Linked DNA regions of Macaca mulatta. The protein of the gene in region 1 interacts with the protein of each later gene in a pairwise test. Links are inferred from orthologs where the notes say so. Each region holds a gene or a part of one and is shown in the gene's direction. Other genes may lie near its edges.

Region 1 (4,241 bases):
CCGTTAAAGTAGAAATAACCTCTCACGGCCGGGCGCGGTGGCTCACGCCTGTAATCCCAGCGCTTTGGGAGGCCGAGGCGGGCGGATCACAAGGTCAGGAGATCGAGACCACGGTGAAACCCCGTCTCTACTAAAAATACAAAAAATTAGCCGGGCGCGGTTGTGGGCGCCTGTAGTCCCAGCTACTCGGGAGGCTGAGGCAGGAGAATGGCGTGAACCCGGGAGGCGGAGCTTGCAGTGAGCCGAGATCGCGCCACTGCACTCCAGCCTGGGCGACAGAGCGAGACTCCGTCTCAAAAAAAAAAAAAAAAAGAAATAACCTCTTACTAAGGAATGTAAAAACAAATATGGTTCAGTCATTCAATGAGCAGTGAAAATTATCTAGCAATTGACCAAATGGACAAATCTCGAGAGTATAATTTTGAGAGGAGAAAGGTGCACAGTGAGAGGTACAGCTATGATTCCGTTCCATGATATGTCTAAACATGCAAAAGAAAATATGGGTACGCATATAAGGACATACATGGACATAATAATATACAACATTCTCAGCACAGTGATTGCCACTGGGGAGGGAGACAGAATGAGATGGAGGAGGTACACAGGGGCTTCTGCCTATCTGTATTGTTCTATTTAAAAAGAATGAATCATTGATTACACCTCAATAAAGCGGAGAGGAAAAAAAGAATGAAACCAAGTATGATAAAATTTCAAGCTAGTGGTGGGTCCACAGGAGAAATATTTTTATTATTTTACTTAAAAAGTAACAGAAGGGAGTCAGGGAGTGAACGCTCGCTGTCCGGAGTCCATCACAAGAGCAGCTCCTCCAGGCAGACACTTGTCAATTTTGCTAGGGCCTCCTGAAGGCACTTTTTTGAGTACGGACAGTCATGGTGCCAGACCCTATTCGGACATCCCACTGGCACTTGATAGGAAAGAAAAGGAGTGCCGGGAACGTTCCCATAACTTAACGGGTTCCTTTCACGTCTACAGCAGGGTAGGGCTCCAGTTAAGGAAGCCCAGGAATCCAGCATAGCGCCTCATCCTAGGGCCCCTCTCACAGGAGGCCACGCCCAACAAAGCAGAGCGCGGCCCCAGCAAGCGCCGAGCTCCCGCAAGGAGACCAAATAGCTTCGGGGTTTTGCCACTTGCTTAGCACAGGCCCATAAGCACCGGGGGCTCAAGGCACCTTTGTAGAAAGAATGCGCGACTGAAGTTCCAAGTCTTGCCACTACAAAGGCGTGTGTGAACTACGGCTTAACACTGCGTCTACGCCTAAGTTCACGTTAGTTGGAAGCCAGCCCCACCGCAAGCCCGAAAACACCCGCCCGTACGAGCACGCCGCGTTGTGCGCAGGCTCCACCTGCCACGCACGCACGCCTGCCTTGCCCCGCCCCTTCCGGAGGCTCGCCACACGCATGCGCCCGCCGGCGCGCGCTTTGTTACGAAAGCGAGGGGGCGAGGTTCTGCGGTGCTAGCGCGCGGAGCGACCAGAAGCTGCGGGCGGGGCGGAGGATGGAGGCTGTAGCGTCCGCTGCAACGGTTGGGGCTGCGCGTGAGAAGGTGGCGGTGTAGGCATCTGCGCTCGGGGAAGGCTGGCGGCGGCGGCCGGGCCATGGCGGGAGACCCCCTTCTCTGGGCTCCCTGAAGTCTCGGGGAGCCGTGACCCATGGGATCGTTGAGCAGCCGGGTGCTGCGCCAGCCTAGACGAGCCCTTGCCCAGCAGGCGCAGGGTGCCAGGGCGGGGGGCTCGGCCCGGAGGCCGGACACTGGAGACGATGCGGCGGGCCACGGCTTCTGTTACTGTCCGGGCAGCCACAAGCGCAAGCGGAGCAGCGGGGCCTTCTGCTACTGTCACCCTGACTCGGAGACGGATGAGGATGAGGAGGAGGGGGACGAGCAGCAGCGGCTCCTCAACACCCCTCGAAGGTACGTGGGGGCACGCACTCGCGCGGACCCGGACCCGCACCTGTTGGGCCTGGGGCCGAGCCGGCGCCCGGTGCGCTTGCGGGGTGCAGCGCTCCCCAGCCTATGAAGAGGGGTCGTGCCCTTGACAAGTGAATGTGGAAGCCGGCCCGATGCCGGGCGGACGGGGGAGCGCCTTGGGAGACGCCTGGTGTTCTGCATTTTTAACCACAGACGCTTCCAGGGTGTTGTTACAGCCCCAAGATGAGGATGAGAAACGCCAAGCCCGAGCTCGCGTCTCGTTAAACCTTAGAGACGCCCGGCTGGCTGGCCTTACCAGTCCACCTTTGCCCTCTCAAGTGGGTAGCCGCAGACTAAGTTGTTTTGCATCCGGTTGCTTTAGTACAGACACTAAATGTAATCTCTGAAATGGGCACTCTTACTGTCGCCCACTCAGTGGAGGGGAAATAATTGCACACAGGAGTTCTCGTTAATCGTAAAGGTGAAGTTTATCAATAGTGTACATTTGTTCCTAACCAGGAACAGAGTTTGTGCAAGTTTCTAGCAGTTGATGTCGTTGACCGTGGATGTACTGTATGTAGGGCGGTGCTGCTGCAGCTTGCTTAACTGTTTTTTTTTTTTTTTTTTTTTGATGAGTTGAAAGATGGAATATTGACTTGTGACCTGGAATTGGAATGTAGTTTATGGGTAGAATATATTCTTACACAAACAATTTGGTTTTTCTGCTTTTGTTTTTAAAGGTGATTTGGTAGGGTCACAGATGAAATTTTTTTAATGATTTCTTTTTCTTTTTTTCTTTTTTTTTTTTTTTTTTTGAGACGGAGTCTTGCTCTGTCGCCCAGGCTGGGGTGCAGTGGCCGGATCTCAGCTCACTGCAAGCTCCACCTCCCGGGTTTACGCCATTCTCCTGCCTCAGCCTCCCGAGTAGCTGGGACTACAGGCACCCGCCACCTCGCCTGGCTAGTTTTTTGTATTTTTTAGTAGAGACGGGGTTTCACCGTGTTAGCCAGGATGGTCTCGATCTCCTGACCTCGGGATCCGCCCATCTCGGCCTCCTAAAGTGCTGGGATTACAGGCTTGAGCCACCGTGCCCGGCCTCTTTTTCTTTTTTTATTTTTCAGACAGAGCCTTGCTCTGTCACCCAGGCCGGAGTGCAGTGGTGCGATCTCAACTCACTGCAACCTCCACTTCCTGGTTCAAGCGATTCTTGTGCCTCAGCCTCCCGAGTAGCTGGGACTACAGACACGCACCACCATGCCTGGCTAATGTTTTCTATTTTTAGTAGAGACAGGTTTCATCATGTTGGCCAAGCTTGTCTCAAACTCCCAACCTCAGGTGATCTGCTGGCCTCATCCTCCCAAAGTGCTGGAATTATAGGCGTGAGCCACTGCGCACCCAGCGTAAAATTAAACTTTATGAGCAGATTCAAAAAGGTTTTGCTATACAAGTGTTGCATATTGTAAAAAAGGAATCATAGATTAAAAACTCAATAGTTTGGTTTATAAAACCTTTTGTACCTTTTTTAATGAATATTTTTATTTATTTACAAAAATGGACCCCTACTGTGAATACTATTCAGTAACTTTTTTTGTTGTTTATTTGATTTTTGGAGTTTTTTTCTAAAGAGACAGGGGTCTCACTATATTGCCCAGGGTGGTCTCAAACACCTGGGCTGAAGCGACCCTCCCACCTCAGCCTCCCAAAGTGCTCAGATTACAGGTGTGAGCCACCATGCCTGACCCTGTAACCTTTTTGAAGAGTCAGTGTAGCATAGTTTTTTTTTTTTGGAAAATTTTTTTTCTTTTTTGAGACAGGGTCTCGCTCTGTCGCCCAGGCTGGAATGCAGTGGTGGGATCATGGCTCACTCCACCTCGACCTCACAGACTCAGGCAATTCTCCCACCTCAGCCTTCTGTGTAGCTGAGACCACAGGCATGCACCACCACACCCAGCTAATTTTTTTATTTGTAGAAACAAGGTCTCACTCTGTTGCCCACCCAGGCTGGCCTTGAACTCCTGGGTTCAAGTGATCCTCTTGCCTTGACCTCCCAAAGTGTTGGGATTACAGGTGTGAGCCACCGTTGCCAACCTGTGGCATAGTTTTAAGAGTTCAAATTCTGAGTTCTTGGCCAGGCGCAGTGGCTCATGCCTATAATCCCAGCACTTTGGGAGACTGAGGCAGACAGATCACCTGAGGTCAGGAGTTCAAAACCAGCCTGGCCAACATGGCGAAACTCTGTCTCTACTAAAAATATAAAAATTAACCAGGCGTGGTGGCGGGCGCCTGTAATCCCAGCTACTTGGTACGCTGAGGCA
Region 2 (3,500 bases), on another chromosome or scaffold:
AGCAGAGCAGCTGGGACCCAGGGTGGGTAAAGCACTTTGTGTTGACACATCTGGTGATTGACTGGATGTCTCTTAAGAGACATCAAGATCTATCCAGAAATCCTCCTTAGGATATAGGTATACACATTTGATTGCATCAGCTATCTCTCTTTAATTCTGAGAGTTCTCTGACCTAACATCTTTTTTTTTTTTTTTTTTTTTTTTTTTTGAGACAGGGTCTACCTCTGTTGCTTAGACTCTGCAGTACAGTAGCCTAATCATGGCTCACTGCATCCTTGAACTCCTGGGCTTAAGTGATCCTCCCAAGTAGCTGGGACTACAGGCACATACCACCACACCTGGCTAATATTTTTATTTTTCGGAGAGATGGACTCTTAGACTCTTGGCCTCAAGTGATGTCCCATCTTGGCCTCCCGAAGTGCTGGGATTACAGGCATGAGCCACTGCGTCTGGCCAATAACTTAACATCTTTCTTAGGTTGCCCCCTGCCATCACAGTTCAGCGTAGTGTTGGGAAGTACCTGATTGGACTTGATCACAGTTCTACCCTTTGCTGATTTTCTAAAGGAAAAGACTGATCTTACACTAATTTTTGTGATATCCTGTCACAGCCACCAAAAGCAGCTAGCCTAGTGCCTCACACTTAGCATTTTTAAAATTTAGTGAGTTATTTTTTCCTAGAATTGTGGTATTTTAACATACTACTACGACAAAGACCAAAAAATTATTAGGAAACTGGTCACTCCTAGGTAATTAAAGAATCAGAAAAAGATATGGGGCCGGGCGTGGTGACACACGCTTGTAATCCCAGCACTTTGGGAAGCTAAGGTGGGTGGATCACTTGAGGTCAGGAGTTCAAGGCCAGCCTGGCCGACATGGCGATACCCCGTCTCTACTAAAAATATAAAAAATTAGCTGGGCATAGTGGTAAGCACCTGTAGTCCTGGCTACTTGGGAGGCTGAGGCACAAGAATCGCTTGAACCCAGGAGGCAGGGGTTGCAGTGAGCCGAAACTGCACCACTGCACTCCAGTCTACGCGACAGAGCAAGGCTCTGTCTCAAAAAAAAAAAAAAAAGATAGTGCTTGTACATAAAAGTGCTTGTACATAAATGATGTCCTGGTTCTGGTTTCAGGTATTAATTGAAGAAACAGATCAATTATGGAAAGTTCACTGTCACCGAGACTTTAAGGAAGAAAGACCCGAAGAATATGAGTCGTGGCGAGAGATGTACCTGCGGCTTCAGGATGCCCGAGAGCAGCGGCTACGAGTACTAACAAAGAACATCCAATTCGCACATGCCAATAAGCCCAAAGGTAACAGAGACGGGAGAGCTGGGGTAGAACTGGCAGGATGAGTGTTCTGGTCAATAGCAGGGTCTTGGTGGGCTTGGCTGGTGTGGGACTGCTCGCCCCTACATCAGGTAGCAGGGTGGGTATTTCTTCTGCCACAGCCCATGCTACCCTATAGTGGGGTTTCAGGGCAGTGGAAAACCCCGTGGATTATTTAAATAACAGTAGCGTCTCTGCTCAAGAAGGCAGATGTTCATCTCCATAATTCTACAGGCCGACAAGCAAAGATGGCCTTTGTCAACTCTGTGGCCAAGCCACCTCGTGACGTCCGGAGGAGGCAGGAAAAGTTTGGAACTGGAGGAGCAGCTGTCCCTGAGAAAATCAAGTAAGAACTGTGTTCTTACCTGGCTTTTGTGTGCTATCAACCCTTAAGAGGTAGCCATAGCGGCAGGAAGCAAATTGCTTTTGGTGAAAGCAAGGCAGTGCAGAAGGTGGACTCTGGAGGCAGACCTCATCAGCTCAGCACTTCCCTCACCTCCCTCAGCCTCTGCTTCTTGGACTGCAGTGCAAGGTGATAATTTCTCCTGCCCTAGGGTAGTCAAGATTAAATGGAGAGCAAAGCCTGACTTATGGGAAACATTCCCTTATGCTTTCCCTTTTCTCATCTAAACAAAAAACACATTTCTGCAATGACTGTTATTTTGTCTAAGCCACATTAGCATTTTCAAAATACAGATTTATACCAAAACAGTGAAAAGTTAGTTGAGATTATCATTTATTCTGAAAGGATAATGCAGACACCTCTGAGCCACCACCAGAATCCAGGGTGCTAGGGTCCACTGGTCAAAGCCACAAACAGGGTAAGTCATCCTCACACAGGCCAGCTTCAGGCTCTTCATGCTCAGGGCAGATTTCTTGTGCTCATGACTAACCAGTGTTGTCCTGTGTTGCAGGATTAAGCCAGCCCCGTACCCCACGGGAAGCAGCCATGCTTCCGCCAGTAGCAACAGCTTTAACCCCAGCCCTGAGGAGCCGGCCTATGATGGCCCAAGCACCAGCAGTGCCCACTTGGCACCAGTGGTCAGCAGCACTGTTTCCTATGATCCTAGGAAACCCACTGTGAAGAGTAAGTAACTTGGAGTTCCTGCTCAAATATTATTTCAGAACTAGTTTTTAACTCTCAATGTCATTATTCACTGTATTACATTTTGTGGACTGCATGTTGCATGTGCATGATGCCTTGCACATAGCTGGTCTGAATGTCAGTCCCTCCTTCCCTCTGCTTTGTCCATAGTGCACTATATCTTTTAAATAATTATAGTGAGTCCAGGTGCGGTGGCTCATGCCTGTAATCCCAGCACTCTGGCAGGCTGAGGCAGGAGGATCCCTTGAACCCAGGAGTTCAAGACCAGCCTGAGCAACATAACGAGACCCTCTCTCTACAAAAAATTTTAAAATTGGGCATAGTGGTACATGTCTGTAGTCCCAACTACTCAGGAGACTGAGGTGGGAGTATCACTTGAGCCTAGGAGGTCGAGGCTTCAGTCAGCCTAGATTGTACCACTGCACTCTAGCCTGGATGACAGACGCTGTCTCTCTTTTTTTTTTTTTTTTTTGAGACGGAGTCTTGCTCTGTCACCCAGGCTAGAGTGCAGTAGCACGATCTCAGCTCACTGCAAGCTCCGCCTTCTGGGTTCACACCATTCTCCTGCCTCAGCCTCCTGAGTAGCTGGGACTACAGGTGTCCACCACCATGCCTGCCTAATTTTTTCTACTTTTTAGTGGAGACAGGGTTTCCCCGTGTTAGCCAGGATGGTCTCAATTTCTTGACCTCGTGATCCGCCTGCCTTAGCCTCCCAAAGTGCTGGGATTACAGGCCACCGTGCCCAGCTGGGTTTTCCAAATATTTATTCTTTATATCCAGTTGCGTCTATTTTGTATTTTGTTAACTTTATTACCATAGACTATCCCCAGTATCCTAAGGGGATGTCCTAACTTAAGTCTTATTCTGTATTAATTGCAGGGCCTATGGGAGGGTAGGAGTCCTGGTTTGAGCAGCAGCTATGCTCAGATTAACCATTCAGGAGGCAGGCTGGCCCTCCTTAGGCAGTACTTGCAGAGCCACCTTAGACCTGTTTCTACACTGGACAGATTAGGGGTAGACGTGATGTTTACTGGTTTGGCTATTTGTGAGGCAAAGTTATGACTGA
Region 3 (3,500 bases), on another chromosome or scaffold:
TCCTACATAAATATTTTGGAATTTAAGATTTATACTTTATAATTATCTTTTATTCAAATACTAGTAGTTGATTTAAGTTAAAGTAAATATTTTTAAGTTTTAAAATTGTGTGTATGAATGTGTCTATATATCATAATGAAATCTATCCTTATTATAGCATGGGTTTAAATTTCTGATGAAATGATGGTGGTAACTACATTTTTTTCTTTAAGTAATAAGTATTTGCAGAATGTAGTGTTAAGCTTCTGGGTACTATTTTATACATTAATATAAGACAATGGACTTGGAAAGCTTGTTCCACTCTAGTTCTTTCATCATCCACCAACCCCCAAAATCATCAGTAAAAGTAAAACCTCAAATTGTATAGTAATCTTAATCTATTATTAAAAGGCCCTAGAAAGAAAGATTACAAGGTAGATTCAGGTTTTGAATCGGTTTTGCCATTGGTTTAGCAGCGGGTGGGCAGGCAGATGCCTGCTCAGAGTAGAACCTATTGCCATTTTTCACCATTGATAGAGTAGCCTTTCAGAGTCAATGAGCTCTGTCAATGTGAGCTTGTCAAGGCTACAACTTCATAGACCTGAGAGGCGGTTTGAGAGGTCAGCCCTTTTCAGGTTCGCTGTGATGCAAATGAACTTTAATGCTTAAACAACTATTGGAATTTTTATGTCTGCTCCTTGTTCTTTTTTCTTCACAAAGTCATTGACGAGACATTCAGTGCTTTTTAAATTGGAAGTTGCATTGTGCTAAAGACCTAGTACAGATTTACGGAGGGCTGAAAGCAGTTAGATCATGTTCTTTTCATGGTGCGATTAGAATCAAATCGATTTCCCTACAGCCTTCAGCATTCAGATGGCAATTTTAACAAAGCTTGGGGGCTAGACAAGGGACAAAACGACCGAACTGAATGTTAATTACACTCTGCAGCCTTATTTTCTTTTGATTTGGGGCTGACTGGCAACTAAATTAACAAAAAGTGTGACCATAACTGCTGCCCTATTTTCATTTAAAAGGAGAGCTGCCTCTAAAAGGCTATCTTTACAAAGAAACAAGTGAGGTCTGCTGATCATTGTTAACAAGGGCACATTTTTTTCTTTAAAATTCTTGCCAAAAAGACTCTTCAAAAAAAAGTAATGTAATAATAAATTAGTCATTGGCATATGATTACCCAGAGAAGTAGCTGATTTTCTGAGTTTTGTGACATAAGCTTGGAAAACGTAAGGCAGTAGTCGTAATTCATTGGTAGTTATGAATTATAATTGGCACCTATGTGACTTTGGTGTGTCTTTAGCATGTTTAATATGCTAAAAGGTAAAGTAACTATTTAAAGTAGATATTTTAAATACATGTTAAAATTTTATTATGTAACATTAAACTGTTCAAACCCAGCTTGATCCTAACAGTTTTGCACCTAGCTAATCCTTGCTTGACATGCACATTTTCATATTTGATTACTAGTACTTCCTTATACCACATTAATAGTGGTAAGATGTTTTTTTCTTTCCTTTGCAAGAAAAGTGCAGCTGAACCAAGTTGCAGTTGATCCTGGTGGCAACACTGTCATTTTTGCACCTGCAGCTGTGTCAGTCTCATCCTAACACCTGGCACCATGAATTATCTTCTTTTATCCATACTCCCAAGCAGGAAACATTTCTTGCAGCATAGCGTATCTTGCTTGCATCAGTCAACTGAAGTAAATTCTCAGTTGATTCCTGAAACAGTAATATTGAATTAAGAGTTTGATTTTACTATCAGATGGCACTTTTATGTTGGTTTAAATAAAATTTTGACTCTTCAAAAAAATCTATTGGTAGAATAATCAGTAAGCTGTCTTTTAAATATGGGCATTATTTTAAGCATGGTGTGAAAATTAGTTTGATTTTATAATTCATTGATTTAATATTAACTTCCAATTTTTTGTTTTGGAACTTACTGAAAGGCCATTTGCATTTTGTTAACTAATATTTACTTTTGTTGTAAAATATGTATTAAGGAGCTTCTGTTACTATTTAAGTATTGGAAACATATTTTTGAAAAAAGTGGGGATTTAATTTTATTTGGCAGATGACATTAGCTTTTAAACCTTGATAGTTTTAAATCAGAGGCTAGTAAAAAAAGATTCATATGATAGAAATAAAGCCATATCTTTTTAAAGAAAGAGAACTCTTTGTGTTCAGGTTACCATTTAGTGCTTAGAAAATGGATAGTGATGCACACCACACTATACTCAGTCACTGTCTTACACCTCTTCCCTTTTCACAGAAAAAGCAGCTGCAAAACAAAGTTTTCTAAAACCAGTCAAGAGTAAACTTTTTTCTCATTTGTCTTCCAGACACGAAGATCGATTGAGAAGTTATTAGAATGGGAAAACAATAGGTTATACCACAAGGTGAGTACCACAGGGAGCAGCTTCGTACTGTTGGGGTCTGAATTGCACAGTATGGAAACAGATGCTTTTGTTGAACTAAAAATATGAAAGGTGGACAAATGGGTTAGTCTGTGTGCTGCAATAAAATAGAGCTCATTTTTCTTCTTTTACTCTCCTACTTGTCTAGCTGTGCTTGCATTGGAGACTGAGCAAAAGGAAATGTGAAACGAATAACATGATGGAATATGTAAGTTAAAGGGCTGTTTTGTGAGTTTCTCTATTAAATGATCATTTATTTTGCTTCTGATCTTATTCTTTCCATGATTATTAATCAGCAAAGGTGTCAGGAGCTTAATCTCCTGAGTGCAAGGATTTTCTACGGTTCACAGATGCATGGTTTCATGTGCAAGACTGATTTATAAAGTTATGAATGACTTGAAAACAAGGCTTCACTGTGTTCTGAAAAATAATAAATTAATTGCCAAGATAAAATAGGCTGAACATGTGTTGATGGAGTGTGAAATTTTAGATGCTGTATAAAGAATAACCACAACTTTGGTTACGCAGCAAGTCAGATATGGCTTTTTTATATAATGCTAATCAAGTTTCCAAGTATGGAAGAAAACCTTTCAGCCAAGCCATTGGAGCTTAAGAAACCTTTAGCCTTTATAGATTTTAACTGTCCGTACCTCAGTGCCCTTTAAAGAATCTGTTTTAAAGTGTTATTAGAATATCGCTTTGTAAAAATTAAAAGTAAGCAGGAAATGAGATGTTGATCATCTTGTGTTTACTTGTTAAAAAATATCTAATTTGGCATATATATACAATGAATTTTGTACTTACTCAGCATGGGATTTAATTTACTGACTCCATGATTTACTTGAGCAGTTTTTCTCCTTTTGAAAATTTCAGAATATTCTAGAAAATTAAGAATTTTAATTTTCTTTTGAGCTTGAGTACTGTACTTTAAATATGGCCAGGTTGTTACTTTAGAAGAAAAAGATCTAAGGAAAAATTAATTGTTGAAAGTAAAACTCAGAGCCTTTGTGAAGTATCTGTTATAACATTTCTGAGGAATTTTGCCTATTCTTTAAAACAATATAGCCATCATAGATGTGTGTGTGTGTATGTG
Region 4 (4,282 bases), on another chromosome or scaffold:
ATCCCTCTTTTCTACTTATTACTAGAGACTGAAACTAAAAACCATGGCTTCAGGGTGCTAAAAGCCTAAACAAAACAAAACAAAACAACAGGAAAATAAGGCAGGTTGGACAAGCTTGCAAGTAGCAGCCGTGACAAGATGGTGTATATTCAACTGGAATAACGAAGATTTTTGTGGGTTTCTGTTGTCGAAGAAGGGGTTGTGTTAAAAAGACTGAAGGAGAAATGGAAGTCAGAAAAATGGAGAGGGGCCCGGAAATGGTAGGGTGTGGAACCCGGGCAGGGGAGGGCTTAGAAAAGCCATGGAGGCAGGCTGGGCACGGTGGCTTGCTCCTGTAATCCCAGCACTTTCCGAGGCCAAGCCGGGCGGATCACGACGTCAGGAGTTCCAGATCAGCCTGACAACATGGTGAAACCCGGTATCTACTAAAAATACAAAAATTAGCTGGGCGTGGTGGCACGTGCCTGTAATCCCAGCTACTCCGGAGGCTGAGGCAGGAGAATCGCTTGAACCTGGGAGGTGAAGGCTGCAGTGAGCCGAGATCAGGCCACTGCACTCCAGCCTGGGCGACAGAGCGAGACTCCATCTCCAAAAAAAAAAAAAAAAAAAAAAGAAAGAAAAGAAAAGAAAAATATATAATATTGAAGAAATCCGTTTGTTTAGTGTGTGTACATTCAATCATGGCTCAAAAAATTAGATGACAAAAAAGTACAAACAGGGCAGGTACGGAATGCAGAGGTTGGCATATTCACACTAGCCTTTTGCGGATAGCAGAGCTCCATTATCTCAAAAAGCCAAAGCCTGACTAGTGTTTCCCACGTCATCTTCCTCATTTCCGCAAGGCCGGGACTGGAGAAGAGGAGGTAGACCTGGGAGCCAACAAATGGCTATCAATCCCACCAAATAGACTAGGCAGTGGGCTTGCTAAACAACGAAGCTTCCAGAAGCGGACCCCACTTCCCATCCTCTTGTGGCCACATTGCTGATCCTAAAGCTTTTCTATGCAAAAACTAGCGGAATGCTATTGAATATAGGTTTTCGAGGCAGCCCTATTCTCTCCGGCTACTTCAACATCAATGGGGGCTTATTTGCCCAAAGGACGTCGCAACTGGGTTTTTCCCATTTTTTCATCGCTGGTGGTTCACCGCCCCGACTCTCCCCCATTGCCCGCTCTGCTTTAACCTCCCACGTAATCAATTCCCCGCTTTACCAACCCGCAGCAGCCCGGGGGATGGGGAGTGGCGGGGGGGTGGGGAGGAGTGGGGTAGGGTAGCCGGCCCCTCCCCCACCCAGCTGCGCCTCCACCAACTAGAAACTACCAGTCCCGGCGTGCCCCGGGGCGGCGCGGGCGCAGGGGCGCGGGCGCGGCGGGTTGTCATTGGCTGGAGCAGCGGCTGCGCGGGTCGCGCTGCTGTGAGGTCTGCGGGCGCTGGCAAATCCGGCCCAGGATGTAGAGCTGGCAGTGCCTGACGGCGCGTCTGACGCGGAGTTGGGTGGGGTAGAGAGTAGGGGGCGGTAGTCGGGGGTGGTGGGAGAAGGAGGAGGCGGCGAATCACTTATAAATGGCGCCGAAGCAGGACCCGAAGCCTAAATTCCAGGAGGGTGAGTGTGCGCCTTTGGGAAAAAGGCACCTAACGGCGCAGGAGATGGAGGCGGGCTCGAGGTGGTTGAGGTTTGAGGGCCGGGGGTGGCTCGGGGTGCACCCTGAGAAGGCGGCGGATAGTGCTTTGTGCGGGGAAAGCGCATTGCGGATGGCAATTCCGATGCGTCATTGTGAGCGCTTTGTGAAGCGAGAGTGCTACGCAGGCGTTAGAGTGGGAGAGGGAGCGTTTGGCGCGTGGCACACCCTCGTCAAGTGTTTGTTATTGTTCTGAGGAAGAGGGCGCGGAGAGAGCAGCCTATTGTAGGGAGGCGACCAAGGCGCCATGGCGGCGGTTAGGGGAAGTGATGTGGCGGCGGGGGGAGGGGCGGCGGTGGTTTCTGGCTGTCCTGCAGCGCGCCCGGCCGCTTGGGCAGCCACGACCGGCGGTTAGGTGCTCCCTGGAGCCCCGGGGTGGTCGCGTTCGGTGGAGACTCGGAGCTGCAGATGGGGGTGGGTTTGGCGCCACGGGGCGGGAGAACTGCGTTGTAAAATGGCCGTTGCAACATGGCGGCTTCATCATGGCCGCTGGCGTCTCTGCCCCGTATGCAGGCGCAGCTTCAGGGCAGATGCAGCGCCCCCTTCCACGAAGACCGCAAGGTTGCCGGGACCCTTCGCTTACCTCAGAGTGGTGGGTGGGGACAGAAAAAAAAAAAAAGGATCAGTGGGATGAGCGTTTTCCTCCGCTTTGTGTTGCCTGGAGGCCTCATTCTGCTCTTAGGCGCAGTGCCAAGATCCTATGGTAACGTTAGTGCGCTCTCGCTTTGCAGTTGCTCGTAAAAAGTAAATAAAAATGATCTGAATGCAGTGTTAACGCCGTTTGCCTTTGTAAGTCCCATTGTCTCGACGTCATTTTTTAAATGCAGTAATTGTTTGATTAGTTGCAGTGTTTAACAGTGACTTGAAAGTTGAGTTTATTTTTATTAATTGGTTTTCGATTGGCATGAGGTTTGGCTAGGGTTAGACTGCCAGTGGAAGGCAGCTCTTTAAATTTTCACAACGCTTCAATTTATGTATAATAAGGTGGAGGTCTAATAGCTAAAAAGGAAGTAAAATCCTGTAAAAGGAGGAACACTCTAATATTCGTTTTCATTGCTATGGAAATTTATGCTAGTTACCGTAAATACGGTGTTTCCATGCGTACTATTTTTGTTCTAGGGATTTTTAGACTTGCATTAAAATTCCTTTTAGAGACATAAATCTTAAACCGTAGTACTGCGTATCTTATGGGATATTTAAGGGAGTTTTAGGGGTATTTTGTTAACGAGTGACTTTTTTGTTTTTTTATATATATATATATATATATATTTTTTTTTTTTTTTTTTTTTTTTTTTTTGAGACGGAGTCTCGCTCTGTCGCCCTGGCTGGAGTGCAGTGGCCAGATCTCAGCTCACTGCAAGCTCCGCCTCCCGGGTTTACGCCATTCTCCTGCCTCAGCCTCCCAAGTAGCTGGGACTACAGGCGCCCGCCACCTCGCCCGGCTAGTTTTTTGTATTTTTAGTAGAGACGGGGTTTCACCATGTTAGCCAGGATGGTCTCGATCTCCTGACCTCGTGATCCACCCGTCTCGGCCTCCCAAAGTGCTGGGATTACAGGCTTGAGCCACCGCGCCCGGCCTGTTTATATTTTTGAGACAATGTCTCACTCTGTCACCTAGGCTGGAGGGCAGTTATGGTACTCGGCTCACCTCTGCCCCCCGGGCTAAAGCGAGCCTCCCAAGTAGCTCGGATCACTGACGCGCGCCGTCATGCCCGGCTGAGTTTTGTTCTGTTTTGTTTTTAGGGGTTTTTTCTTTCTTTGTGGGTTTTTTTTTTTTTTTTTTTTTTTTTTTGTATTTTTGGTAGGGACGGAGTTTCATGATGCCCAGGCTGGTCTTGAAGTCTTGGGCTCAAGCGATCCACCCGCCTTGGCCTCCCAAAGTGGGAGGATTACGGGCGTGAGCTATCGCGCTCAGCCGTGTGACTTTTAATACCCTTCTCCCACCTTGAGAATCTGTGACTCTACCTCCTATGGATTCATTATTTTACTAGACGTTTTAGAGCAGATATTCTTAGTGCATTCAGAGGGTCCGTGAAATTGAATGAGGAAGATGTGTTTTTTCTGTGTACCCAAGTTTAGTTTTCAGTTAACAGTGTAATTCCTCCCCCCAAACCCCGAAAAAAAACGCCGCATTAGTATTTTCAGATCTCAGCATTACAGTTGTGGAAGATGTTTTCAGTTATCAATCATTCTCGTTTCTTCAAAATTAGGGTAGTTGCTGGATGACTAGCCAAGTCTTTGTCCTGTAATGTCATAGAACGTGACATTTAAAATGTTTTGGTGTTTCGATACAGTCGGTTGCCTTTGTACTACTGTGTGTTTTATGTATTTATGAAATCATTCGGCTCGTAGGCTGTATCAGACTGTCAAGGCACAAAAAGTTAATCGCTTCTGTAGGAACAGCCTAAGGTTGGCTGTTTAAGGAAGCGCTTTAGTTCTAGAGGGTTGCTAGTTAAGAGGGGAATAGCAGCAGAGAATTCCTTGTGCCTTTTTTTTTTTTTTTTTGAGACGGAGTCTCGCTCTGTCGCCCAGGCTGGAGTGCAGTGGCCGGATCTCAGCTCACTGCAAGCTCCGCCTCCCGGGTTTATGCCATTCTCCTGCCTC
Region 5 (3,500 bases), on another chromosome or scaffold:
GCAACCTCAATAGTACGCCCTTAGAGGTGGTTATTTTTTCAGTGTTGGGAGAAGCCACAGCATCATCAAAGTGGTGATTGGTCCTCTGATTGAGTAGTGGTTAGAGCCCAATGTGGTATAAGTTTTCTGTTTAGAAAGGCCCTGACAGATAGTAACTAAGGGAACTTGTGAAAATCAGGGGAACATTTTTTGTTTTGTTTGTTTGTTTGTTTTGTTGTTGGTGGTTTTGGGTTTTTATTTTTATTTGTTTGTTGTTTTTTGAGATGGTCTCACTCTATCATCCAGACTGGAGTGCAGTGGCGCAGTCACAGCTCACTGCAGCCTTGACCTCCTGGGCTCAGGTGATCCTCCCGCTTTAGCCTGCTGAGTAGCTGGGACTACAGGCACGCGTCACCACGCCCAGCTAATTCTGTAGTGTTTTTGTAGAGGCAGGGTTTTGCCATGTTGCCCAGGCTGGTCTTGAACTCCTGGCCTCAAGTGATCTGCCTGCATTGGCTTCCCAAAGTGCTGGGATTACAGGCATGAGTCACCATGCCCGGCCGGTTTTTTTTTTTTTTTTTTTTAACCAGAAAAATAATAAAATATTTTTATTACTTAGAGAAGCTATAAATTCTGGTGCTGCAGTATAGTAGAAAGAATATTGGGAATCAGGAATTTTAGATTTTAGCTTTGTCATTACTGTATATGTAACCTTGGACACATAGACCACTTAAATCCCTAAGACCACCAGTCCTCATCTGTGAGATAGTCCTTTTCACCTCAAAATACTAAAATGCCAACAATGGACCTAATTCAGCTCTTTAAGCAGCAGGCTAAAACCAATTTCTTCAAGTTTTTTTAAAGGTTCGAAATCTTGATTGTCTTTTTCTCTCTTAATTGTTCACCATTCTTTCTTAATTTGCATTGCTACAAATACCTGAGGCCCATTGTTCCCTGAGACATAGTTATTGTCCTGTGTTGCAAACAGAGGGTGTCCTGCGGGAAGCCTGATTCTGGAAGTCATTTATTGGTACCTCACTCCCTTCAACTGTGAACTTATGAAAGGGTATGTGTTGTTGCTTTCATTTACCACAGTAGGTAATTTCTGTGTAGAGCTAAGGCCAGCAGAGTTAGGGCTATAATTTTGTTGGTATGTAAATGGCCAGTTCCAGTGTTCTTAAGGTTTGTGTATTCTACCTTCTTGCTTCATCCACTCAACTCTGCCTCATAGAATCCTGCCGAGCTGTTTTAGATTAGCACATTTTTGTTGTTGTTCTGTAATTTCTGTTCTTTTCAATAATACTTGCAAAGGCATAATAGCTTCTAATTCTATTATATCTAAATATCTATATCTATCTGTCTCTCAATGTATATATTTAAAATAGTCAAAGGATATTTTATTCCATCCATTTAGATAGTGGCTCTGAAATCAAAAGCTACTTGGTGAGGCTGCTGACTTACCTCCCAGGAAGACCCATAGCTGAGATTCCCATCAGCCCCCAGCTATTGTATGAAATTGGAAAGCTAGCTGCCAAATTGGATAAGACACTGCAGGTAAGATATGGGGCTTTATTTTATTCTAAGGGACGTTTGTTTGTTATTTTATTTTTAAAATAAACTAAGAATCAGATTCTCTTTTTATGTATGGTGCACCTAAGGTATGTTATGAAGGGAATGGAGTCCTAGAGTGCATACATTTTATGACAGTAAGGCTAACTTCTGCCAAACTCTTACTGGTGTAGTCCGGGTGTGGTGGTCCACGCCTGTAATCCCAGCACTTTGGGAGGCTGAGGCAGAGGGATCTAACTTGAGGCCAGGAGTTTGAGACCAGCCTGGCCAAAATAGCGAAACCCTGCCTCTTCTAAAAAATACAAAAATTTAGGGCATGGTGGCATGTGCTTGTAGTCTTAGCTACTTGGGAGACTGAGGCAGGAGAATTGCTTGAGCCAGGAGGTGGAGGTTGCAGTGAGCCGAGATCACACCACTACTCCAGCCTGGGCGACAGAGCAACGCTGTCTCTAAAAAATTTTTTTTAATTTTTTTTAATTTTTTTTTTTTTTTTTTTTTTTGAGACGGAGTCTCACTCTGTCGCCCAGGCTGGAGTGCAGTGGCCGGATCTCAGCTCACTGCAAGCTCCGCCTCCCGGGTTTACACCATTCTCCTGCCTCAGCCTCCGGAGTAGCTGGGACCACAGGCGCCCGCCACCTCGCCCAGCTAGTTGTTCTGTATTTTTTAGTAGAGACGGGGTTTCACCGTGTTAGCCAGGATGGTCTCGATCTCCTGACCTCGTGATCCGCCCGTCTTGGCCTCCCAAAGTGCTGGGATTACAGGCTTGAGCCACCGCGCCCGGCCAATTTTTTTAAATTAAAAAATAAATAAATCTTACTGGTGTATTGGAAAGATTACCTAAATTTTTAGAAATTCATGATATTCTTCATGCTGCTCACTGAAAACAATCAATATTCACAAATGGAAACGTGAAGATTTCATCCAGTTACAGTATAATCAGCTGGAGTTCCGTATGAAGCAATAGCTAGGTTGCAAATGGATTAATAGTGTATGTTAAGGATGTTTTTGCCCTATAGAAACGATATAATGTATGACAGGTGCCTTTTAGACTCACCCATAAAACATCTTCATTTATTCAATATTGACTGAGTACCTTTTATATTAAAAAAAATCACAAGACAAAGGAAATATATTTACTATTTATTAAGTAGAAATGGGTCATCATAAAGGTCTTCACTGTCATCCTCACTTTGAGTGGGCTGAGGAGAAGGAGGAAGAGATGGGGTTGGTCTTTTTTTTTTTTTTGAGACAGGGTCTCACTCTGTCTCCCAGGCTGGAGTGCAATGGTACAGTCACAGCTTAATGCAGCCTCAACTTCCCAGGCTCAAGCAGTCCTCCCATCTCAGCCTCCCAGGTAGCTGGGACTACAGGAGTGTGCCACCACACCCATCTAATTTATTTTTGTATTTTTTGTAGAGATGGGGTTTAGCCATGTTGTCCAGACTGGTCTCAAACTCCTGAGCTCAAGCAATCTTCCCGCCTCTGCCTCCCAGTGCTGGGACGACAGGCATGAGCTACCCACGTCTCGCCAGGGGGTTGGTCTTAGTATTAGGCCATTCTTGTGCTGCTATAAAGAAATACCTGAGACTGGGTAATTTATACAGAAAAGAGGTTTAGGCCAGGTGCGGTGACTCACGCCTGTAATCCCTTCACTTTGGGAGGCCAAAGCAGGAGGATCACTTGAGGCTAGGAGTTTGGGAGCAGCCTAGGCAACATGGTGAAACCTTGTGTCTACTAAAAATACAAAAAATTATCCTGGTGTGGTGGTGCATGCTTGTAGTCCCAGCTACTTGGGAGGCTGAGGTGGGAGGATCACCTGAGCCCAAGAGGTTGAGGCTGCAGTGAGTTGTTACCACACCACTGCACTCCAGCCTGGGTGACAGAGCAAGACCTTGTCTCAAAAAAAAAAAAAAGAAAGAAAGACATTGCTCCACTTCTTGCTTCCATTTTTT
Region 6 (3,500 bases), on another chromosome or scaffold:
CCCAGGGAGGTAGGGGTGCCTGTGTCGGGCTCTGTATGCTTGAGGTCCAGGCCCAGGGCTGAAGGTTCTTGGGGACACAGTATCCCTCGGTGTGCAGTGAGCAGCTGTGAATGTGAAAGAGAAGGGACTTGGCCGGGCGCGGTAGCTCACGCCTGTAACCCCAGCACTTTGGGAGGCCGAGGCAGGTGGATCATCTGAGGTCAGGAGTTTGAGACCAGCCTGACTAACATGGTGAAACATTGTTTCTACTAAAAATACAAAAAAATTAGCTGGGCGTGGCGGGGTGTGCCTGCAATCCCAGCTACTCAGGAGGCTGAGGCAGGAGAATTGCTTGAACCTGGGAGGCAGAGGTTACAGTGAGCTGAGATTGTGCCACTGCACTCCAGCCTGGGCGACAGACCGAGACTCCGTCTCAAAAAACAAAGAAGGGACAAGCCTCTTGCCTGCTCCCTGCTCCCAGCCTTTCCCAGCTTTTTCCTCCCCACATCAGGCTCTTCTATCGCTACCAGGACCTGGCCCCGCAGCTCGTGCCCCTCGACTATACCACCTGCCCCGACGTGAAGGTGCCCTACGAGCTCATTGGCAGCATGCCCGAGCTGAAGGTACACCCAGGCCATGGGACAGACAGGGGAAAAAATAGTAGAGATGTCTCTCGTTGCATTCCTCTGAGGTCGGTGCTGCAGTTATCCCCATTTTACAGATAAGAAAACTGAGCCTCAGGAAGTTAAGACACTTGTTCATGGTCACACAGCTACAATGTCACAGAGACAGGGTTAAAACTCAGAGTTGGCTGGCGTGGTGGCTCAAGCCTGTAATCCCAGCACTTTGGGAAGCCGAGGCGAGTGGATCACCTGAGGTCAGGAGTTCGAGACCAGCCTGGCCAACATGGTGAAACCCTGTCTCTACTAAAAATACAAAAATTAGCTGGACGTGGTAGCACATGCCTGTAATCTCAGCTACTAGAGAGACTGAGGCAGGAGAATTGCTTGAACTCAGGAGGTGGAGGTTGTAGTGAGCAGAGATCTAGCCACAGTACTCCAGCCTGGGCGACAGAGTGAGACTCTGTCTCAAAAAACTCATAATTGGGAGAATGAAATGAGATAATACAGGTAACAAACTCAGTACAGGGTGTGTTTTGTGTTAAGTACTCAGAGAACGTTAGTTCTTCTTGTAATAGGAGCTGCTAAATGCAGATTTTTTTCAGCAGGATGTTTGACACATGGTTTGTGCATCCAAGGGGAACTTGTGGGTTGAGTAACTGACTGTGAGTAGGGCTGATTTTATTGCAAGTGACAAAAACCTTATTTGAGAGGGACAGAATGGATTGGATCAGAATGGATTGCCCCTGAACAACAACAAAAAAATCCAGAGGCAGGGACAGTGTCAGGTATGGCTGGACTGTCATACCTGACAGGTATGACAGGTATGGCTGGAACCAGGGCCTCTGATGATGTGCTCAGGAATCTCCCCCCATCTCTCAGCTCCTTCCAGGAAGAGGTTTCAGTCTAAGGCAGCCTCTCCTCTTGAGGTTGTGAAAGGACCTCTCAGCCACTCAGCTTTAGCTTCTGTGAGCTTTGCAAGCAGCAGTAATGAGGTCCTCTCCCTCCCAATTTTTTAGAAAAATGTCCCAGGGCAGTCTCTGATTGGCTAGCTTGAGTCACATGCCCATCCCAGAGCCAATCACTGTTGCCAGGTGAATGGAACTCTCTGATTGGCCTTGCCTGGGTCACATGGCTGCTCCAAGAGCTGGAAGTGGGGTCAAGGTTGCTCTGACCACAGGGGCAGAGGGTGGAGTTGTCCAAAGTCCTGTCCAGGGACCATGGAAGGGAGTGGGTCTCGATGGAGAATACTTGGAGCCTCCCAGAAAGTGGGTGCTCAGAGTGAGACCACATGGACCCCCAGAGATCCTGGGGGTCGGAGGGTGGCCTCCCAGCTTCCTTTCTCTCCCCAGGACAACCCGTTCCGCCAGAGGATTGCCCAGGTCTTCTCCGAGGATGGGGATGGCCACATGACCCTGGATAACTTTTTGGACATGTTTTCTGTGATGAGTGAAATGGCTCCCCGCGACCTCAAGGCTTACTATGCTTTTAAAATTTATGGTGTGTGCATGGCCCTGGGGTTGGGGAGCATGGGGATGGGATGGGGAGTGGGAACTGGGTGGGTGGCACCCACATCACAAATGTCTCCCCAGAGGTTTTGAGGCCCTGCGTGACCCTGTCCTCTACCCCACTCCAATGCCTCCCCAGCTCATTTATTTGCTAACTCTATTCCAGCCCACACGGGCCTTGTTGTTCGTCTCTGGGCCTTTGCCTCTGCTGAACCCTCTGCCTAGAACACTTTTCACCTGGCTCCTTATTTACTTATTTTTATTTATTTATTTTTTTTTGAGATGGAATTTCGCTCTTTTTGCCCAGGCGAGAGTGCAGTGACTCAATCTTGACTCACTGCAACCTCCGCCTCTGAGGTTTGAGTGATTCTCCTGCCTCAGCCTTCTGAGTAGCTGGGATTACAGGCACATGCCATCACACCCGGCTAATTTTTGTATTTTTAGCAGAGATGGGGTTTCGCCGTGTTGGCCAGGCTGGTCTCGAACTCTTGACCTCGGGTGATCCGCCCGCCGCGGCCTCCTAAAGTGCTGGGATTACAGGCATGAGCCACCGCGTCCAGATCCCCTGGCTCATTCTTATCCTTGAAGTCTAGGTTGAAAGTAGGCCTCTCCCCCATTCATCCCCCTATCCCACCATCCTATTTCTCTTCTAGCACCAGGCAATGCTGCTTAATTTCTTGTTCCTTGACCTGTTCACTTCTTATTGACTTTGAGAAGACTCAAAGGTACTGACAGTATCTATTTTGCTCACCATCTGTCTTCTGAGCCTGGCTCAGTAAATATTTGTTGAATGACTGAATGAAAGAAAAACAGTTATCTTAGTGCCTGGCACCTTGTGTGCACTCAATAAATACTTGGTTTTTTGTTTCGTTTTGTTTTGTTTTTTGCTTTTGTTTTTTTGAGACAAAGTCTTGCTCTGTCCCCCAGACTGGAGTGCAGTGACGCGATCTCAGCTTACTGCAACCTCCGTCTTCTGGGTTCAAGCAATTCTCCTGCTTCAGCCTCCTGAGTAGCTGAGATTGATTACAGGCGCCTGCCACCATGCCTAATTTTTTGTATTTTTAGTAGAGATGGGGTTTCACCATGTTGGCCAGACTGGTCTCGAACTCCTGACCTCAGGTGACCCACCCGCCTCAGCCTCCCAAAGTGCTGGGATTACATCTCTACTAATTTTTTGTATTTTTGTATTTTTTGTATTTTTAGTAGAGATGGGGTTTACCATGTTGGCCAGGCTGGTCTTGAACTCCTGACCTCAAGTGATCCACCCACCCCAGCTTCCCAAAGTGGCAGGCTTACAGGCATGAGCCACCATGCCCTGCCACCATAATACTTTTTTTTTTTTTTTTGAGGCAGAGTCTCACTCAGTCACCCAGGCAGGAGTGCAGTGGCCGGA
Region 7 (4,011 bases), on another chromosome or scaffold:
GGATCAGCGTTTTTAAGGATAATTTGGCGGGTAGGGCTCAGAAAGTGGTGAGTACTGATTGGTCAGGTTGAAGATTAAATCATAAGGGTTCGAAATGAGTTCTGGCTGACTTCTGTTCCTGGGTGGGATCGCACAAATGGTTGAGCCAGATTATCTGTCTAAGTGATGTCCGAATGCAGGGTCTACAAAACATTTCAAGCACTGATCTTAAGTTTTGCAACAGTGATGTTATTCCCAGGAGCAATTTGGGGAGGTTCAGACTATTGCCGCCAGAGGTTGCCAGCCCCTAAACTGTAATTTTTCATCTCATAGCTTAATTTGTTAGTCCTACAAAGGCAGACTGGTCCCCAGGCAAGAAGGGTTTTTTTGGGAAAGGGCTATTATCAATTTTGTTTCAGAGTTTAATCTATAAACTAAATTCCTTCCCAAGGCTAGTCTGGTCTACACCCACGAATGAACAAAGGCAGTTTAGAGGATAGCAGGAAGATGGGGTGCGTTAGGAGATCTTTCCCTGTCATAATTTCTTCAGTTACGATTTTTGCAAAGGCGGTTCCCGTGGTCTCATTACCTTTACAAAGGCTGTTTAGTTTTGAGGAAGGGCTGCTATCATTTAAACTATAAATGTCTCCCAAAATTAGCTTTGCTTATCCAGGAATAATTAAGGGCAGCTTCAAGGACAAAGGCAAGATGGGGATTGGCCAGATCTCCTTCAGGGCCATCATTCTCTCACTGATACAATTTTTGGCAAAGGCGGTTTCAGAATGCCCGTCTTAATGTAACTGTGGCCCATGTAACGATGTTTAGGGGGTCTTACCTGATTTCTAAAAGGCTGAAATGCTTGTAAGGGCTCTGCTGGACCTGTCCGTACGTCTTTCCTATAAATGCGTCTTTTCTGTAAAAGCTGGGAGGGAGCGAGACAGGGAATCAACACAGCCCCAGGGCTGCCCTGGGTTTATTCCAAGAGTTTGAATCGCGTAACTTGGAGCTGTGTAGCGCCCATCCCATCCACGCTAGGCCCGCGCTCAGAGACAGGCCTACGCACTCGGCCATGGTACGCGTGGGACCGAGCCCACCCCGCTCGGTTCCAGGGAGCGGCAGCTCAGCCCTCACGGGGCCGCCTCCGGGACCGCCACCTGCACCCACCCACGGCTCGCCGCGCGCTTCCGGGGTCGCGTTAGAATCGCGTCAGAGCCGGGCGCCCCAGGCCGCCCATGCGCAGGAGCAGAGCCGACGTGTCAGCGGCGCCCAAGCGGCCCCAGGGCGCTCTCCTCGCCCCGCTCTCCTCGCCAAGCCGCCAATGGGCTCAGGATCCGCCCCTGACGACGTGGGCCCCGCCCCTGGAGACACGCGCCGCGCAGTCGTCACCCGCCCGGGAGCAGGAGGCCGGGGGCGCCCGCCGGCCGGGCCTGGGCGGTCGCCATGAAGCTGACGCGGAAGATGGTCCTGACCCGGGCCAAGGCCTCGGAGCTGCACAGCGTGCGCAAGCTCAACTGCTGGTGAGGCGGGGCCTGGCCGCGGCCGCCCCGGGGTCGGGGGAGGAGCGGGGGCGGGGCCAGGGCGGGGACTGGGGTGAGGGCGGAGCCGGGGAGGGGGCGGGGGCGGGGGTGGAACGGGGGCAGGTGCGGAAGTGGAACGGGGTCAGGTGCAGGGGCGAGGGCGTCAAAGGAGTCAGGGGTCAGGGAGGAGAGGAGACCAGGGGTCGGGGTCGCCGGGGCCCCCCCATTTCCCGGCCCGCCTTTGCCCCGGCTGCCCTGTGGGCCAGATCTGATGTCTGGGGTTGCCAGCAGTCACTGGGACCAAGTCGAATAGGAGAGAGAACTGAGTTCTCGAGGACTGAGTCAGGAAACACGTTGGTAATCAGTACTGGGGGCGGCCGTGCCAAGGGTATGCCTGGCAGGTGATAGGAAGGGACGTGGGTGCGGTGGGACCCATGAAGGCGCAAAAGCGGGTAATACTGAGGCTCACCAGGCCAAGGAGGACCAGGAGCTTCCAGAGGAGGCAGCCTGGAGTTGAGGCCCGCACGATCTCCAGGGCTCCCTGGGGACTCAGCGGAGTCGCTGCGCCCTGTCAACTGGCCGCACCCTGCAGGCGGGGCGTGGGGGTCAGGGAGAGCAGGCGCTTCCTCCCAGGGGTATCCCCATACTGCCCAGAGCGAGCTCTTCTCTGTTAATTAAAAAGCTTTTCTGGGCCGGGCGCGGTGGCTCAAGCCTGTAATCCCAGCACTTTGGGAGGCCGAGGCGGGCGGATCACGAGGTCAGGAGATCGAGACCATCCTGGCGAACACGGTGAAACCCCGTCTCTACTAAAAAATACAAAAAAAAAACTAGCCGAGCGAGGTGGCGGGCGCCTGTAGTCCCAGCTACTCGGGAGGCCGAGGCAGGAGAATGGCGTAAACCCGGGAGGCAGAGCTTGCAGTGAGCTGAGATCCGGCCACTGCACTCCAGCCTGGGCGACAGAGCAAGACTCCGTCTCAAAAAAAAAAAAAAAAAAGCTTTTCTGTCTGCCCTGGCACATTTGGTGTTTTGGCTACAATTCCCCTGTGTCATTTGCTTTCAATAATGCATTTCTTTGTTTTGCACGGGGTGGTCAGTACTCTCACTAAGCTGGAAGAAACAACAACCCGATTTCAGGCTTTTAAAGTTTGCTTCATAAGTCGCCTGTTCACCCTTTGAACTTGGCCTCTTATAAAGACGCCCTTGTTGATGTCTGTCAGTGAGAGATATTAACCTTCTGCTATTCAGGGACCATGAGGAACAGTTCATCTTTTCGTGTCTTACAAATGGCTCTGCTGCTCCTTATCTAAAAGGTACCACCCCAACGTCATACAGTGTAGTTGAAAATCAAGTAAAACAATTGTTTACACCTTTGCCGGTTATATTTTTTGCCACGCCATTAAAATGCTAGAATCTTAAGGTTTGTAGGGAGTCATTGGTAATTTTTGGAATTTTTGTCTTCAGTGTTTTTTATTCAACTTTAACAAAATTAAAGTATCTTTTCTCTCCCCAGGGGCAGCCGCCTCACAGATGTAAGTATTGCTCTGATCATCTCCAAATGGCCTCAGTCCCAAATGTTGTAGCTTCTTCCCCAAGAGAATTTTTAAGTTGACAAAACTGCCCCTATCAGTTCAGTCCCACACTTGGTACTTTGTTCACTTGGCGGGTTTCGTTATGTAGAACCACTAATGGAAAAACAATTCTCCAGTACCAGGCTGATTTTGCTGTTCCCGTCAACATAAATGAAACGCTGTTTGTCACTTGGTCACAGAGGAGGGGAGCAATAGTTTGGAACTTGCTATCACCTGGAAAGGAATCCCAGGACGGTTTGTTTTACTTTGTTAAGGGGAAGTTGAAGGTCTGCACCCCCTCTTCTTGGTCACATCTAGCCTTGTGCCCCCCACCGCTACCCCAAAGGCGGCAGAGAACAAGCCCTGCTGGGAGAACTTGAGCGTGTGCGTCTGTGAAAAGATTTCTTTCTTCTCTTCCCTCATTCTCTTTCTCAGTCCAAAATGTCCCCAACTTCCAACTTACACAAGGATTGCATACCAATTGTTTCTTTCTTTCTTTCCTGTTTTTTTTTTTTTTTTTTGGCCCAGGCTGGAGTGCAGTGGCGCGATCTTCGCTCACTGCAACCTCCACCTCCCGGGTTCAAGCGATTCTTCTGCCTCAGCCTTTGAGTAGCTGGGACAACAGGCGCCCACCACCATGCCTGGCTAATATTTGTACTTTTTGGTAGAGATGGGGTTTCACTGTGTCGGACAGGCTGGTCTTGAAGCCCCTGAGTTCAGGTGATCCACCTGCCTCAGCCTCCCAAAGTGTTGGAATTACAGGCGTGAACCACCATGTCCAGCCCAATTATTATTTATCTCTTTATTCTCTGTTTTTTAAATTTGAACTGTACCTTTCCTTAAAGACAAAAAAAAAAAGCCTGGACACATGGCACCGGATGTAATCTGTTTTGTGCTGTAACTGAAATACTGCATGTTTAGCAGTGACTATATAAACACACCATGGT

What was found.
Region 2: the proteins of GMCL1 (region 1) and ELOA interact in binary tests that used the Homo sapiens proteins (3 or more experiments, as listed by UniProt). The two-hybrid records come from large-scale screens. The link is inferred for Macaca mulatta from reciprocal best matches to the Homo sapiens genes GMCL1 and ELOA.
Region 3: the proteins of GMCL1 (region 1) and CHIC2 interact in binary tests that used the Homo sapiens proteins (3 or more experiments, as listed by UniProt). The two-hybrid records come from large-scale screens. The link is inferred for Macaca mulatta from reciprocal best matches to the Homo sapiens genes GMCL1 and CHIC2.
Region 4: the proteins of GMCL1 (region 1) and MORF4L1 interact in binary tests that used the Homo sapiens proteins (3 or more experiments, as listed by UniProt). The two-hybrid records come from large-scale screens. The link is inferred for Macaca mulatta from reciprocal best matches to the Homo sapiens genes GMCL1 and MORF4L1.
Region 5: the proteins of GMCL1 (region 1) and HYKK interact in a two-hybrid assay, tested with the Homo sapiens proteins (2 studies listed by BioGRID). The two-hybrid records come from large-scale screens. The link is inferred for Macaca mulatta from reciprocal best matches to the Homo sapiens genes GMCL1 and HYKK.
Region 6: the proteins of GMCL1 (region 1) and CIB3 interact in binary tests that used the Homo sapiens proteins (3 or more experiments, as listed by UniProt). The two-hybrid records come from large-scale screens. The link is inferred for Macaca mulatta from reciprocal best matches to the Homo sapiens genes GMCL1 and CIB3.
Region 7: the proteins of GMCL1 (region 1) and CFAP410 interact in binary tests that used the Homo sapiens proteins (3 or more experiments, as listed by UniProt). The two-hybrid records come from large-scale screens. The link is inferred for Macaca mulatta from reciprocal best matches to the Homo sapiens genes GMCL1 and CFAP410.

The regions. Positions count from the first base shown.
Region 1 is NC_133418.1:54,922,780-54,927,020, reverse strand, and holds the start of GMCL1 (germ cell-less protein-like 1), read left to right. Parts: upstream 1-1,441; 5' UTR 1,442-1,669; coding exon 1,670-1,929; intron 1,930-4,241. UniProt on the Homo sapiens protein: Possible function in spermatogenesis. Enhances the degradation of MDM2 and increases the amount of p53 probably by modulating the nucleocytoplasmic transport.
Region 2 is NC_133406.1:217,242,399-217,245,898, reverse strand, and holds part of ELOA (elongin-A), read left to right. Parts: intron 1-178; exon of another isoform or gene 179-310; intron 311-1,133; coding exon 1,134-1,314; intron 1,315-1,563; coding exon 1,564-1,675; intron 1,676-2,243; coding exon 2,244-2,416; exon of another isoform or gene 2,417-2,500; intron 2,501-3,500. UniProt on the Homo sapiens protein: SIII, also known as elongin, is a general transcription elongation factor that increases the RNA polymerase II transcription elongation past template-encoded arresting sites.
Region 3 is NC_133410.1:79,479,718-79,483,217, forward strand, and holds part of CHIC2 (cysteine-rich hydrophobic domain-containing protein 2), read left to right. Parts: intron 1-2,332; coding exon 2,333-2,389; intron 2,390-2,555; coding exon 2,556-2,615; intron 2,616-3,500.
Region 4 is NC_133412.1:57,080,616-57,084,897, forward strand, and holds the start of MORF4L1 (mortality factor 4-like protein 1), read left to right. Parts: upstream 1-1,482; 5' UTR 1,483-1,562; coding exon 1,563-1,602; exon of another isoform or gene 1,603-1,672; intron 1,673-1,754; exon of another isoform or gene 1,755-1,947; coding exon of another isoform or gene 1,948-2,239; intron 2,240-4,282. UniProt on the Homo sapiens protein: Component of the NuA4 histone acetyltransferase (HAT) complex which is involved in transcriptional activation of select genes principally by acetylation of nucleosomal histones H4 and H2A.
Region 5 is NC_133412.1:56,662,004-56,665,503, forward strand, and holds part of HYKK (hydroxylysine kinase), read left to right. Parts: intron 1-1,393; coding exon 1,394-1,533; intron 1,534-3,500.
Region 6 is NC_133424.1:16,646,021-16,649,520, reverse strand, and holds part of CIB3 (calcium and integrin-binding family member 3), read left to right. Parts: intron 1-490; coding exon 491-602; intron 603-1,951; coding exon 1,952-2,099; intron 2,100-3,500. UniProt on the Homo sapiens protein: Acts a an auxiliary subunit of the sensory mechanoelectrical transduction (MET) channel in hair cells. Plays a role in regulating hair cell MET channel localization and function.
Region 7 is NC_133408.1:3,194,787-3,198,797, forward strand, and holds the start of CFAP410 (cilia- and flagella-associated protein 410), read left to right. Parts: upstream 1-1,211; coding exon 1,212-1,511; intron 1,512-3,006; coding exon of another isoform or gene 3,007-3,025; intron 3,026-4,011. UniProt on the Homo sapiens protein: Plays a role in cilia formation and/or maintenance. Plays a role in the regulation of cell morphology and cytoskeletal organization. Involved in DNA damage repair.